Saccharomyces cerevisiae S288C: one gene and its partners. Changing the gene in region 1 together with any one later gene gives a genetic interaction. Each region holds a gene or a part of one and is shown in the gene's direction. Other genes may lie near its edges.

Evidence for each region. Genes that interact genetically often act in the same process or in processes that back each other up.
Region 2: mutations in DAL81 (region 1) and IDH2 together harm fitness more than expected from each alone (negative genetic interaction), as found in Saccharomyces cerevisiae (2 studies listed by BioGRID).
Region 3: mutations in DAL81 (region 1) and NRP1 together harm fitness more than expected from each alone (negative genetic interaction), as found in Saccharomyces cerevisiae (2 studies listed by BioGRID).

Annotation. Positions count from the first base shown.
Region 1 is NC_001141.2:398,070-403,344, forward strand, and holds DAL81 (Dal81p), read left to right. Parts: upstream 1-1,707; coding exon 1,708-4,620; downstream 4,621-5,275. Other genes in the region: MRS1 (Mrs1p), read left to right, coding at 1-316; YIR021W-A (uncharacterized protein), read left to right, coding at 445-657; signal peptidase complex catalytic subunit SEC11, read left to right, coding at 664-1,167; INA22 (Ina22p), read right to left, coding at 4,772-5,275. UniProt on the Saccharomyces cerevisiae protein: Positive regulation of genes required for catabolism of GABA (UGA4, UGA1, and UGA2), urea (DUR1 and DUR2), arginine and allantoin.
Region 2 is NC_001147.6:578,345-581,859, forward strand, and holds IDH2 (isocitrate dehydrogenase (NAD(+)) IDH2), read left to right. Parts: upstream 1-1,905; coding exon 1,906-3,015; downstream 3,016-3,515. Other genes in the region: GTPase-activating protein BAG7, read left to right, coding at 220-1,449; SIA1 (Sia1p), read right to left, coding at 3,469-3,515. UniProt on the Saccharomyces cerevisiae protein: Performs an essential role in the oxidative function of the citric acid cycle. Also binds RNA; specifically to the 5'-untranslated leaders of mitochondrial mRNAs.
Region 3 is NC_001136.10:160,495-165,315, reverse strand, and holds NRP1 (Nrp1p), read left to right. Parts: upstream 1-2,161; coding exon 2,162-4,321; downstream 4,322-4,821. Other genes in the region: DNA ligase (ATP) CDC9, read left to right, coding at 1-329; CCR4-NOT core subunit CDC36, read right to left, coding at 451-1,026; FAP7 (nucleoside-triphosphatase), read left to right, coding at 1,274-1,867; SFA1 (bifunctional alcohol dehydrogenase/S-(hydroxymethyl)glutathione dehydrogenase), read right to left, coding at 4,552-4,821. UniProt on the Saccharomyces cerevisiae protein: May play a role in chromatin organization.

The DNA of each region.
Region 1 (5,275 bases):
TCATTTGGATAAAGGCTGGAAACTTAAATTCCCCATACTATCCTCGACAACGGGCCTAAACTTCTCCCTGAAGGATTGTCTTTCCCTGGACACAGGAAAAGATGCATCTGATATGACAGAGGTGTTTCTCGCTACTATGGAGTCGAGTAAAGTTCTTCGTACGTATAGCAACCTCGTTGACATTGTGATGAAGGACAATGGTAGGTTGGACTCAGGCGTCCTAAAGCAATTCAACGACTACGTTAAGCAAGAAAAGCTCAATCTACAACATTTTCAGGCCGGTTCCTCAAAGTTTCTCAAAGGCGCAAAGATATAATCCTCTTATATAGCATGTAAATAGAAAGTACGTAAAAAAAAGCTACTATTGACTTTATTCTCCGTGAGGGCGGTTCTTTCTGTAGCTGTTGGTTTTTTCCAGATCTTATGTGACACACCTGCACAACAATGTCATTCTCTGTCAGCTGCAAGACTCCCAAGACCACGAAGCTGCTGGTATCTTCTATTTCAGAGAGCGCTGTTGCTCTTATTATTATTACCATACGTATACTTTTTTCCATTGGCAAAAGCGATTTCAAAAAAATAATCTCCAAGGAAATAAATGGTGCAGAAACAATATACTACAGAAATATACCGGAAAGTAAACCCCAAGGGAGTTAGCACAAGATGAATCTAAGATTTGAATTGCAGAAACTATTGAACGTTTGCTTTTTGTTTGCATCTGCTTACATGTTCTGGCAAGGCTTAGCCATTGCTACTAATAGCGCTTCTCCGATCGTGGTGGTGCTTTCAGGCTCCATGGAACCAGCTTTCCAAAGGGGTGATATCCTTTTCCTATGGAATAGAAATACTTTCAACCAAGTAGGTGATGTCGTGGTGTATGAGGTCGAAGGGAAACAAATCCCCATTGTGCATAGAGTTTTGAGGCAACATAACAATCACGCGGACAAGCAATTCCTCCTGACCAAAGGTGACAATAACGCCGGCAATGATATCTCACTATATGCTAATAAGAAAATTTACTTGAACAAGTCAAAGGAGATTGTAGGGACCGTCAAGGGCTACTTTCCACAACTAGGGTACATTACGATTTGGATTAGCGAGAACAAATATGCCAAGTTTGCATTGTTAGGTATGTTGGGGTTGAGTGCTCTGCTGGGGGGCGAGTAGTTCGCCAAGTTTTTTTGGAACGATGTTTACGTACTTTGTATTTGTGCTTATGGTCTTTAACTTGTTTAATTATATAACCATAACCATTCGGTCCACGCTGAAAACAAAATATTGTCTTAGGACACGCTTTGAGAATTATTGAAAAAGGAGCTCCCACAGTGATGTAGGCAATTCAACAGAGATGATTTGTGTCATTTTTTATAAGGTGATACCGTCGCTCATTAACTCGATATCTTGAAAAGGCATATGTGTCGGTAATTGAGACCGCTAGGTTTAACTTCTCGAATAAAAAATGGTCTAAGCTGCATAAGCATATAGAATTGTACAATCAGTGTATAGGTAGAGCAGAAGCAGTCCAAGATTCGAGCTAATAATACTCATATAATATCCATCGCGATGGGTATTATATGAAACATAACAATCGTACATGGTGATTGAAAATAATAGATGATAAGAATCATTTTCAAATAATAGTGTAGATCTTAAAAACTCTTGGCCTGTTTAGACGAGCGGCAGAACGACAGGCAGCCATACTATCAAATGGACCCTCACCAATCACCAGCTGATAATGCCGCATCGCCTACGAAGAGCGTGAAGGCAACCACTAAAAATTCGTCCACGAATAATAATGTCAATAGCAACAACAGCAATAATAACAGTAACCATGATATACTGAATTTTAATGATAACTATACTACCATTCTGCAACATTTGGCAAACGACCATCCTAATATACTGAGGGAGAAAGGAGGATCACAACAACAACAGCATCAGCAGCAGCAACAACAGCAACAACAGCAGCAACAACAGCAGCAACAACAGAGCCTGGATACCCTTTTGCACCATTATCAAAGTTTACTCTCCAAGAGTGATAATGCAATAGCCTTTGATGACAATGTTAGTAACAGCGCAGATCATAATGGCAGTAATAGCAACAATAATAACAACAATAATGACATATCTAGTCCCGGTAATCTGATGGGATCTTGCAATCAATGTAGATTAAAGAAAACAAAGTGCAACTATTTTCCCGACCTAGGCAACTGTCTCGAATGTGAAACGTCAAGAACTAAATGCACCTTCAGTATTGCTCCAAATTATTTGAAAAGAACGTCCTCTGGGGCAAACAATAACATGCCAACCTCTTCAAACTCCAAACGAATGAAAAATTTTGAAGACTATTCGAATCGCTTACCCAGTAGCATGCTCTATAGACATCAACAGCAGCAGCAACAGCAACAGCAGCAACAGCGTATACAATACCCCAGATCCTCTTTTTTCGTCGGTCCGGCCTCAGTTTTCGATTTGAACTTGACCAAGCATGTAAGACTAGATAATGTTGACCAAATACAGCTATCAAAAACTTTATCATTAAGAAAGGTGTCTCCTACCGCACAGTTTATTCTTCAGGACGATTTTGACACGACCCTTCATAGTAAGCAAGAATACGAAGTTGATTTGGTCGAAAATCTGGTACATCCGCACGGTCACCTTTTAGTAGAGATTTTCTTCAAATTGATTCATCCTTTTCTTCCAATTTTACACGAACGTGTATTTTTGGAAAAGTATTCTAGATCTTATAGAGAACTCACTGCGCCTTTACTGGCATCCATTTACTCACTGGCATTACAATATTGGGATTTTCATCCTGCACTTTTGGGGTTCCCTAAACCCGATGTAACTGCTCAACTAAACAATATCGCATTGGAAACATTTTATGCTCGAGTTGGAAGGCCAAAATTGAGCATTATACAAACAGGCCTTTTGATTTTGCAATGCCGTAGTGAATGTCATAACAACTGGGTCCTCTGCTCCAGCGTAGTGGCCCTTGCAGAGGAATTGGGGCTCGGGGTTGAATGTAATGATTGGAAACTTCCCAAATGGGAAAAAGATTTGAGAAAGAGATTAGCGTGGGCAGTTTGGTTGATGGATAAATGGTGTGCATTAAACGAAGGTAGACAATCCCATTTAATTTTAGGTAGGAACTGGATGATCAAGCTATTAAACTTTGATGATTTTCCTCTGAATTCGCCCACTATTTTAAATTCCTTGCAAAATGACCAGTCGGGGTCTTCACCCTCGTCATCAAATGATGTGAAAAACCATCAGATAGCATTTGGTAACTTGCCCATATTTAACATAAACCCCACTTTAGAAGATTTCAAGAATGGAACGCTTATGTTTCAACAAATGGTTTCCTTGAGTATAATTCTTGGGGAAATCATGGACACATTTTACACTCAGGGATCCATGACAATAAACAAAAGCATTGAACAGGTATTGAAACTGGCAAAGCCGTTGCAACTGAAATTAAGAGAATGGTACCATTCCCTACCCAAGAATTTGTCAATGAGTTATGCCACGCCACAAAAATTGAACTCAAATTCAACTTTAACTCTAGCTTATTTTGCCACGGAAATTACGTTACATAGGAAAATTATCTGTGCCTTGAATCCTCAAACTCCAAAGGAACTGGTTCAAGTATGCAGGACTGCTGCAAGAACCAGGCTTGTAGCAGCAATTGAATTTATAAGAGATCTAAAAAACGAACATATTAATGCTTTTTGGTATAACTGCTCAACTGGAAATCTGATGCTAATTGGAACATTTGCTGCCCTGCTGTATGTGACTTCAGCTACGAAGGAAGAGGCTATGATTTTCAGAGATTATGTTAGAAATTATACCTGGGTATTGAAGATAGGTTCCAAATACTTTGATAAACTATCGAATGCTTTGAATAATATGCATTTACTATTTGCACAAATTCCTGGTCTTCTGACCGATGAACCGGTGGTCGTGAGCCCTAACTCTAACATCAATTCCGTTAACCCACAAAGGTCAGGTGTACAATCGCAAATCCCAATACAATTTAACGTGGGATCACCTGCCATGACCGAGCAAGGATCTCCTTTAAACCAGTGGAAGAATTTGCCCCAGGAAATCTTGCAACAACTAAACTCCTTTCCCAACGGTACGACCAGTACAACAACGCCAGTAAACCCCACTTCCAGACAAACACAACTAGAATCGCAGGGAAGTCCAGCCATAAATAGTGCTAATAATAATAGCAACAACACGCCTTTACCATTTGCGCCAAATAAGTCTTCTAAAAAAACTTCACAATCTTCACCAAATGTTACGCCCTCTCATATGAGCAGACACCCCCCCTCTAATACATCTTCACCAAGAGTCAATTCCAGCACAAATGTCAACTCTAATACACAAATGAATGCTTCTCCCTTGACCTCAATTAACGAAACCAGACAAGAGTCAGGTGACGCTGCAGATGAAAAAACAGCAGGAAGAGAAAGAACCGCCAACGAGGAATCATCAACGGAACTCAAGGACGATAATCCAAACTCGAACCAGGAAACAAGCGCAACTGGTAACCAAACTATAAAAATGAATGATGATAAAAATGTAACAATTAACACAAGGGAAACCCCTCTGTAATATAAATAATAGCACATAAGTAAAAATGGAATACGGTAATAACTATATAGAAATATCTTCTGCAGGACCAAGGTTACTGAGTGGTGAATGTAAAATTATTTATTCGCTTGCGTTATATTTACATGTGGTATATCCGGATGCATAGAGCCTACTATAGAAATTTTGGGATTTTATCATGTTCTTTGGCGATTTCATTCAAATCACCTGGTTGGTTCATCATCATATGGACATCACCACTTAGGTAAACCTTTTCATCTTCTTTTTTCGACTTTTCTAAATCTTTTAGAACATTCAAATCAGTGACAATCCCTTCTTTGTTCTTAACGCCAGCATCTGGAGTTTTTTCGATTACTTCTTTTTTTGCCTCGTCTATTATACTTTGCCAGATCTCTTCCAATGACTCTTCCTTAGGAACCACAATATCAGTCTCATCTTCCTTCATCCCAGTTGCGTTCTTGCCGACGATTCCTAAACGCAAATTCACAAGTTTCAATTCATCATCTGCGTCGAAGTCTACCTTTCCATTATTATCATGAACCCTCCGTATCAGCTCTTTCAATTTATCAAGTTTTAGCTTATATTTCCTTTCCATATCAATAATGTTCCTTTTCTCGGCTATTACTGCGTTTAATATCGACCCAAATATCATTACCAA
Region 2 (3,515 bases), on another chromosome or scaffold:
TTTCTTCTTATTTAAGTACATCTTTAGAAGAAAATTACACAACTGGAATGAGTAAATCAATACTTGCTTTGTGTTCCCATTGTTAGATACTCTTGTTTTAGCATGTGATAGCAGTATATAATATAACCTGCAAAATAATCGAAACGCGTACACAGGAAAGAGTACATAAATAACCATAGTATATTTCTGGACATATCTTATTACACAACATAAAATAGAATGTTTAACATGAATCTACTTTCTACACCTTCTTCTGAAGAGGGTTCTCCACAGAATAGGTCATCTTCAATGTCTTCTGTTGAGGGCAAGAAGGATAGGGACACCTTTACTAATTTGCAAAACGAATTTGATGGTAAAGTATTTGGCGTCTCACTCGAGGAATCACTGAAAGTTGCTCAAGAGGAAGTAATTATCCAAAAAAGTACAAATGAAATTGGTTCCATACCGGTGGTAATAGCAAAAAGTGGGAAATACCTAAAAGAGAATGCATTAGACACAACAGGAATTTTCCGTATTGCGGGAAGCAATAAACGTGTTAGAGAGCTACAAGCTGTTTTCTCTAAACCGCCCGATTATGGTCGTAAATTTGAAGGATGGTGTGATTTCAATGTTCATGACATTGCAACTTTATTAAAAAGATATTTGAACTCATTAAGTGAGCCTTTGGTTCCCCTAGCATTATACGACATTTTTAGAAATCCAATATTAGAAAACCCAAAAATAAATGAGCACAAAGAACAAATCATTAAGGACTACGAAGATATTTATATGCTCTTACCACAACAAAATCGCCATTTAATACTTTATTTAGCCGCGCTCTTGAATTTATTTGCAAGAAATGAAAAGAAGAATTTAATGTCAGCAAGCAATTTAGCGGCCATCGTACAACCCTCACTTTTGTCTCATCCCAAGGATGAAATGTGCCCGAAAGAGTATGAGGCTTCCAGAACTGTCATCGAATTCCTCATACTACACGCTTCAGATATAATACCGAATACGGAAAAAGCGAATAAGGACACCATGCCGCATGCAGGAACAGTAGCAAAGTTTAACAACATTACCGTTCCTGAAATGGCTATTGACTCCGATGAAGAAGATTTTGTGCACCCTTCAATAGATGACCATATGCTTCCAAGGTCACGTGCACTTTCTGACTCCAACAATTTTACCATACATCATCATCATCATCATCATCATGCACTGTTTCCTAGCCCAATAGATTTTGATAACAATGGGCTTTCTGTACCGAGATCCTTTAAAGGTAGAACATTGAGTGCAGAGTCCCTTTCTCCCAGACTTAGTAAATTACTTGGGAACGTTGGAAACAGCAGCAATACTGGCATCAAAGACCCTACAGAAAGAGTTCCTAGAGGTGAACATAAAACCAAACACAAACAACGACAGTCATGGTTGAGAAGACTCACTAGCCCTTCTAGAACGCAGCCTTAGCTTCCTAAGCACTGTGATCTGCTAGTCGATTCCGAGGTTCGGCGAAGAAATTGTCGTTGCCCCGCCAGGGGCCTTTTGCGATACTCGGCGCTTCTTTCAGCAATCTCGGTCCGCATCTCGGCAAGGGGGGGCATGACACGGGCCGCTCTGGTTGGTCAGTTCCTATTTTCTGTAACTTCCATTGTTTGGTTAAAGAATATATAAGTTATTGAAAAGCTCATAGGTCCCTTATTATAGGCCCTAAGGTTTTAGTTTCTCATCATAGTCATATCAGAAAAACCCTCCTTCTAAAGTTTTCCTCTTTTCTTATTTCTTTTTCATTTATTATTCATATTTATATAAATATATATTCCAAGTGCATGACATTATTGGATACACTTTTTCTGAACCTGAATTACCTTGGTAGATAATAAGATACAGATCGGGAACGAACAACAATTATAATATTTTTTAATAATGTTGAGAAATACTTTTTTTAGAAACACCTCGAGGAGGTTTTTGGCTACTGTAAAGCAACCTTCAATCGGAAGATATACCGGCAAACCTAACCCTTCTACCGGCAAATACACGGTCTCGTTCATTGAAGGTGATGGTATCGGACCTGAAATTTCCAAGTCTGTAAAGAAAATCTTTAGTGCAGCAAACGTCCCCATAGAATGGGAATCTTGTGATGTTAGCCCTATCTTTGTCAACGGATTAACGACCATTCCTGACCCTGCCGTACAATCTATCACAAAAAACCTGGTTGCACTAAAAGGTCCACTAGCTACACCTATTGGTAAAGGTCACAGATCTTTGAATTTGACATTGAGAAAAACATTTGGGTTATTTGCCAACGTTCGTCCCGCAAAGTCTATTGAAGGTTTTAAGACCACTTACGAAAACGTTGATTTAGTTCTTATCAGAGAGAATACCGAAGGTGAATATTCTGGTATCGAACACATAGTTTGCCCTGGCGTTGTTCAATCTATTAAACTGATCACAAGAGATGCCTCTGAGCGAGTCATTAGATACGCTTTTGAATATGCAAGAGCCATCGGCAGACCAAGAGTTATTGTGGTACATAAATCTACTATCCAGAGATTAGCTGATGGTTTATTCGTTAATGTTGCCAAAGAACTATCCAAAGAGTATCCTGACCTTACTTTAGAAACTGAACTTATTGATAACAGTGTGTTAAAGGTGGTCACCAACCCATCTGCTTACACAGACGCTGTTTCTGTTTGTCCAAATCTATACGGTGATATCTTGTCCGACTTGAACTCTGGTTTGAGCGCCGGTTCTTTAGGTTTAACTCCATCTGCCAATATTGGTCATAAAATCTCGATCTTTGAAGCTGTCCATGGCTCTGCCCCTGATATTGCCGGTCAAGATAAAGCGAATCCAACTGCCCTACTTTTATCTTCAGTAATGATGTTAAACCACATGGGTCTAACGAATCATGCTGACCAAATTCAAAATGCAGTATTGTCTACTATCGCATCAGGTCCAGAAAACAGAACAGGTGACTTGGCTGGTACTGCTACTACTTCATCATTCACTGAAGCAGTCATCAAGAGATTATAAAAGTCCTATTCTTTTCCCTCTCAGGTTTTTTCACGCCTTGAAAACAAATGACTATCCGTTTAATATAATGATTTCTGAAAGATTATGAAGTAAAAAAAAGCAAAATGCTTAGATATATAATATATACATACAATAAAAATTCCGTATCTACTCCAAACTTCTATGGCTTTGTCCTCAATGTGTTCTGATGTTTATTTAATAGCCTGAAGTTTTTATTAAGTATGTATACTTTTCGATATTTATTCTTTTAATAATGCTACAGGAGACCATAAGTGATAACTCAAAATGTCCCTCAGTGGACTTGTAAACCAAAAAAAAAAAAAAAGAAAAAGAATTAAATATATTATGTGTAAAAAGAAAACACCACCGTGTGTTATGTATATTTTGTTTATGTCTATCTATCATCTATCCTGCTGGCAGTCAATGTTCACCTTACAAAATTAATCATTGAAATTATTGCTTCCCCTTATAGATGTACTGATAATCGTAAACCTCGTCAA
Region 3 (4,821 bases), on another chromosome or scaffold:
AGATAGGGACAGGATTTTCGGACGAAATGTTGCAGCTTTTGCACGACAGGTTGACCCCGACGATCATTGATGGACCAAAAGCCACGTTTGTTTTCGATTCGAGTGCTGAGCCAGATGTATGGTTCGAACCTACGACTTTGTTTGAAGTTTTGACTGCAGACCTTTCCCTATCGCCTATTTATAAAGCAGGTAGTGCAACTTTTGATAAAGGCGTATCCTTAAGATTTCCAAGATTTTTGCGTATAAGAGAAGACAAGGGCGTAGAAGATGCAACCTCTTCTGACCAGATCGTCGAATTGTATGAAAACCAATCCCACATGCAAAATTAGATGTGCACACTATTTTTCTCAATTAATCATTAAAAAAAAAAAAGAGGGCGTTCTGTTCAGCTCCAAAACGCCGCATCACATATAATGACATTTATTTACTTCTTTCGTTTCTCTGTCTACCTTACATAATAGCATTATAAAACAATAAGAAATCTCTTTGGCACTTTTCCCACCTTTGTGGGTCAAAAAACACATATGATCCCCTTTCACTTAAACCATCAGCGGATACAATAGGTTCCATCATAGGATCTTTGGTGAGCCAGGCCTTCAACGTCTTGTGGTATCTCCAGTTCCTTTTCCTGAGTTCCAAATACGTTAGTTCCTGGATGACTGTACCAGGGTGTTTATAGAAGAGGAAAAATAGAGTTTCATCTTGAAAAAGGGCAACACGCTGTTGGTCATTTTGGATGGAATTGAAGCATGGTGGAGTTACAGTGGATTGTAATACGCCCGGAATATTGGTGAATGATTCTGGTGTGAAAAATCGGGGCTCCACTTCGCTTCTGGATGTTTCTGCCCACGGTGATTGAAAAGTATCGAGGACTCTGTGATCTTGTGAATCTCTTGGAATACCCAACGAATATAGCATCGACGATAAGTCCGCTCCTAAGGTCATGGAATGGTCATATGTACTTGAAAGTTCTTTGTCCTCTAGCTTAAGGAGCGGTACTAGCGCTTTTAAACCAAATTTTTCCATTATGTAGGGAATAGTATATTTTGATTCTCTTCTCTTCCTGTTTTTCCTTGTGGTTTTTGCATATCTAGTTTAAAAAATGCCTGTTTTGCTATTATCTTATTAATGTTCGCCTCGCTTTTTCGCAGTTATAAAAAAATACTCACATAATAATATACTTCATAACAAAAGAGCTCACTCTTTATAAATCATACACAAGACTCGTAGAAAGGAACTATTAGAAAATAAAGAAATACTTTGTTATATAAAGATGGAAGCAAGACGGTATGGACCGAATATCATTGTTACAGGAACACCAGGATGTGGCAAGTCGTCTACGTGTGAGTTTTTAAAAAATAAACTGAAGGATTACAAATACTATAACATTTCGGATTTCGCCAAAGATAACGACTGTTTCGAAGGATATGATGAGGGCCGTAAATCGCACATTGTCGATGAAGACAAACTGCTGGACATGCTAGAGCCTCTTTTGAGACAGGGAAATAGTATTGTCGATTGGCATGTCAATGATGTGTTCCCAGAGAGGCTGATTGACTTGGTGGTGGTGTTGAGATGCGATAACTCTAACTTGTATTCAAGATTGCATGCAAGAGGCTATCATGACTCTAAGATCGAGGAAAACCTCGATGCCGAGATTATGGGTGTCGTCAAACAGGATGCCGTGGAATCATACGAACCGCACATTGTGGTAGAGCTACAAAGCGATACGAAAGAAGATATGGTATCTAACGTATCCCGTATTGTTGCTTGGGAAAAGATGTGGTTAGAACAACATCCAGATGGAGTCACAAATGAATATCAAGGGCCTCGTAGCGATGACGAAGACGATGAAGACAGTGAGTAGGCGTTCCATAACTTTGTGTATCTACATATATACATATATAATTGTAAATTAGTAACAGTAGTAATAGTAGTGCCTATTATAAAGGGTTTTCTTTAAGTAATGTCATGTACTTGTTTAATGTGACTTTGGTAATATATTTTCATTCTCCGATGCCGATGCCCAGTGGAAAAGTTTAAAGTGAAAAATTTTTCAACACATACAAGTTTAATAAGTTGGTTTTGATGCAAATAGCATTACTAAAGAAGAGCGCTAGGATAATTGTGCATTGCTATTGTGATTTTTGATACAGAAATTATGCACTATGTGGTACTAGAGCTGCAAGTTGCGCATTTGCCAGATACCCCCAAGGATCAATGTCGCATTGCGAATATAGCATTTCAAATTGTGAATGCTGAAACATTAGTATGCCATTATGGGACCAATTCTTTACCGAGCATTGAAGTAAACGGGACGACAAAGAGTTTGGAGAGTGCAATGGTGCAATTGGACAAGGATATTCATGACGTTATTGGTAACGACGACTTTGTTCTTGTTTCCCTGTATTCAACATGGCATATCCGTGTTACCTTACCACGTCAAGCGAGAGATGATGGGTTTATTCTTACTTCTTATTTACAACATCCGAAAGTATTTGACTTATGGAAGGAATTCGATAGATGGTGTGTCAACCATCCGGAGATTTTGGGACAAAAGAAAGCAATCTCCAACAACAATTGTAATACTAAAAGTATTAGTATTAATGCAGCCAAAAATACGAAGGATTTGGACGAAATAGTTAGAATATTGGAAGTTTCAATCCCAACTGAAGAGGCAGGCTCTGTTCCAGAGATATACTCTCTTTTAAAAAGGACAACGGATATATTAATACAATTGCACAAAAAGTGTACTTCCCCTGAAGATATGGAATCTGTCTTAACAAAACCATATGACTCACACACCGATATTAGAGCGTTTTTGCAAGAGAAATCTAAGATTTTGTACATGAACAATTTACCGCCCGACACAACTCAAAGTGAGTTGGAATCATGGTTTACCCAATATGGTGTTAGACCAGTTGGGTTTTGGACTGTCAAAAACATCGTAGAAGATACGTCTAACGTTAATAATAACTGGAGTCTAAATAACAGTCCCTATGTGGAAGATCAAGATAGTATCTCAGGATTTGTTGTCTTCCAAACACATGAAGAAGCAACTGAAGTACTAGCGTTGAATGGGAGATCAATCCTATCTAATCTGGCAAACACTAAGCAACCAAGGGTGGTGGAACATGTCCTTGAGCTTCAACCTTCTTCCACCGGAGTACTCGATAAGGCTCAAGAAATTTTATCGCCTTTCCCTCAAAGTAAAAACAAACCAAGACCAGGTGACTGGAATTGCCCATCTTGTGGTTTTTCAAACTTTCAAAGACGTACTGCATGTTTTAGATGTTCTTTTCCGGCACCATCAAATAGTCAAATACATACTGCGAACTCAAACAATAATGTTAACAGTAGTAGAAATAATTTAAACAATCGCGTGAACTCGGGATCTTCAAGCAATATTAGTAACACTGCAGCGAATCACCCCTATGGTGCCCCTGAGTTCAACATGATTGCTAACAACACGCCAGCAGCTTTAACATACAATAGAGCTCATTTTCCTGCAATTACGCCATTGTCGCGACAAAATTCATTGAACATGGCACCATCGAACAGTGGGTCGCCGATAATTATAGCGGATCATTTTTCGGGAAATAATAATATAGCCCCAAATTATCGTTATAATAATAATATTAACAATAACAACAATAATATTAACAATATGACCAATAATAGATATAACATTAATAACAACATCAACGGTAATGGGAATGGTAATGGGAACAACAGTAATAACAATAACAATCATAATAACAATCATAATAACAATCATCATAATGGTAGTATCAATAGTAATAGTAATACCAATAATAATAATAATAATAACAATGGTAACAATAGTAATAATTGTAATTCCAATATCGGTATGGGAGGATGTGGCTCCAACATGCCATTTAGAGCAGGAGATTGGAAGTGTTCCACGTGCACGTATCATAACTTTGCTAAAAACGTAGTGTGCTTACGCTGTGGTGGTCCAAAATCAATAAGCGGCGATGCAAGTGAAACCAATCATTACATAGATTCATCAACATTTGGACCAGCGTCGCGTACTCCCAGTAATAACAATATTTCTGTTAATACTAATGGTGGTAGCAATGCTGGTCGCACCGATGGGAACGATAACAAAGGTCGTGATATTAGTTTGATGGAATTTATGTCACCACCGTTATCGATGGCAACAAAGTCAATGAAGGAGGGAGATGGGAATGGTAGCTCGTTTAACGAGTTCAAAAGTGACAAAGCTAACGTTAATTTTTCCAATGTTGGTGATAATAGCGCTTTCGGTAATGGTTTTAATAGTTCAATACGTTGGTAGTTAGGAACAGGCGAGGTCAATAAATTTCACACAACCACATTGTATTTTTTATTTTTACACTTTTATATATTTATATACTTTTTCTACCCTTACTTTTTTCTTCAGGTCTAACTGATTGCTGAAGAACGTAATTGTGCGCATATATATGATATTTGATAGAATGTAGGACGTTGATTTTCAAAGTATTCCAGAAAATTTGAGTCATGCTTACTTAGTTTAATTAAGTACTCCTATTTTATTTCATCAGACTTCAAGACGGTTCTTAAGCAATCACCGTTATGCAAATCTTCAAAGGCTTGATTGATTTCTTTGAATGGTCTCCTGTGAGTGATAAATTCTTCGACTTTTAAGGCACCTTTTTGATAGTCTTTAATTAAACCGCCCATTTCAGATCTACCTTTGATGCCACCAAAAGCAGAGCCTTTCCACACTCTACCAGTGACCAGCTGGAACGGCCTTGTAGAAATTTCTTCACCAGCGGCAGCCACACCAATGATAAT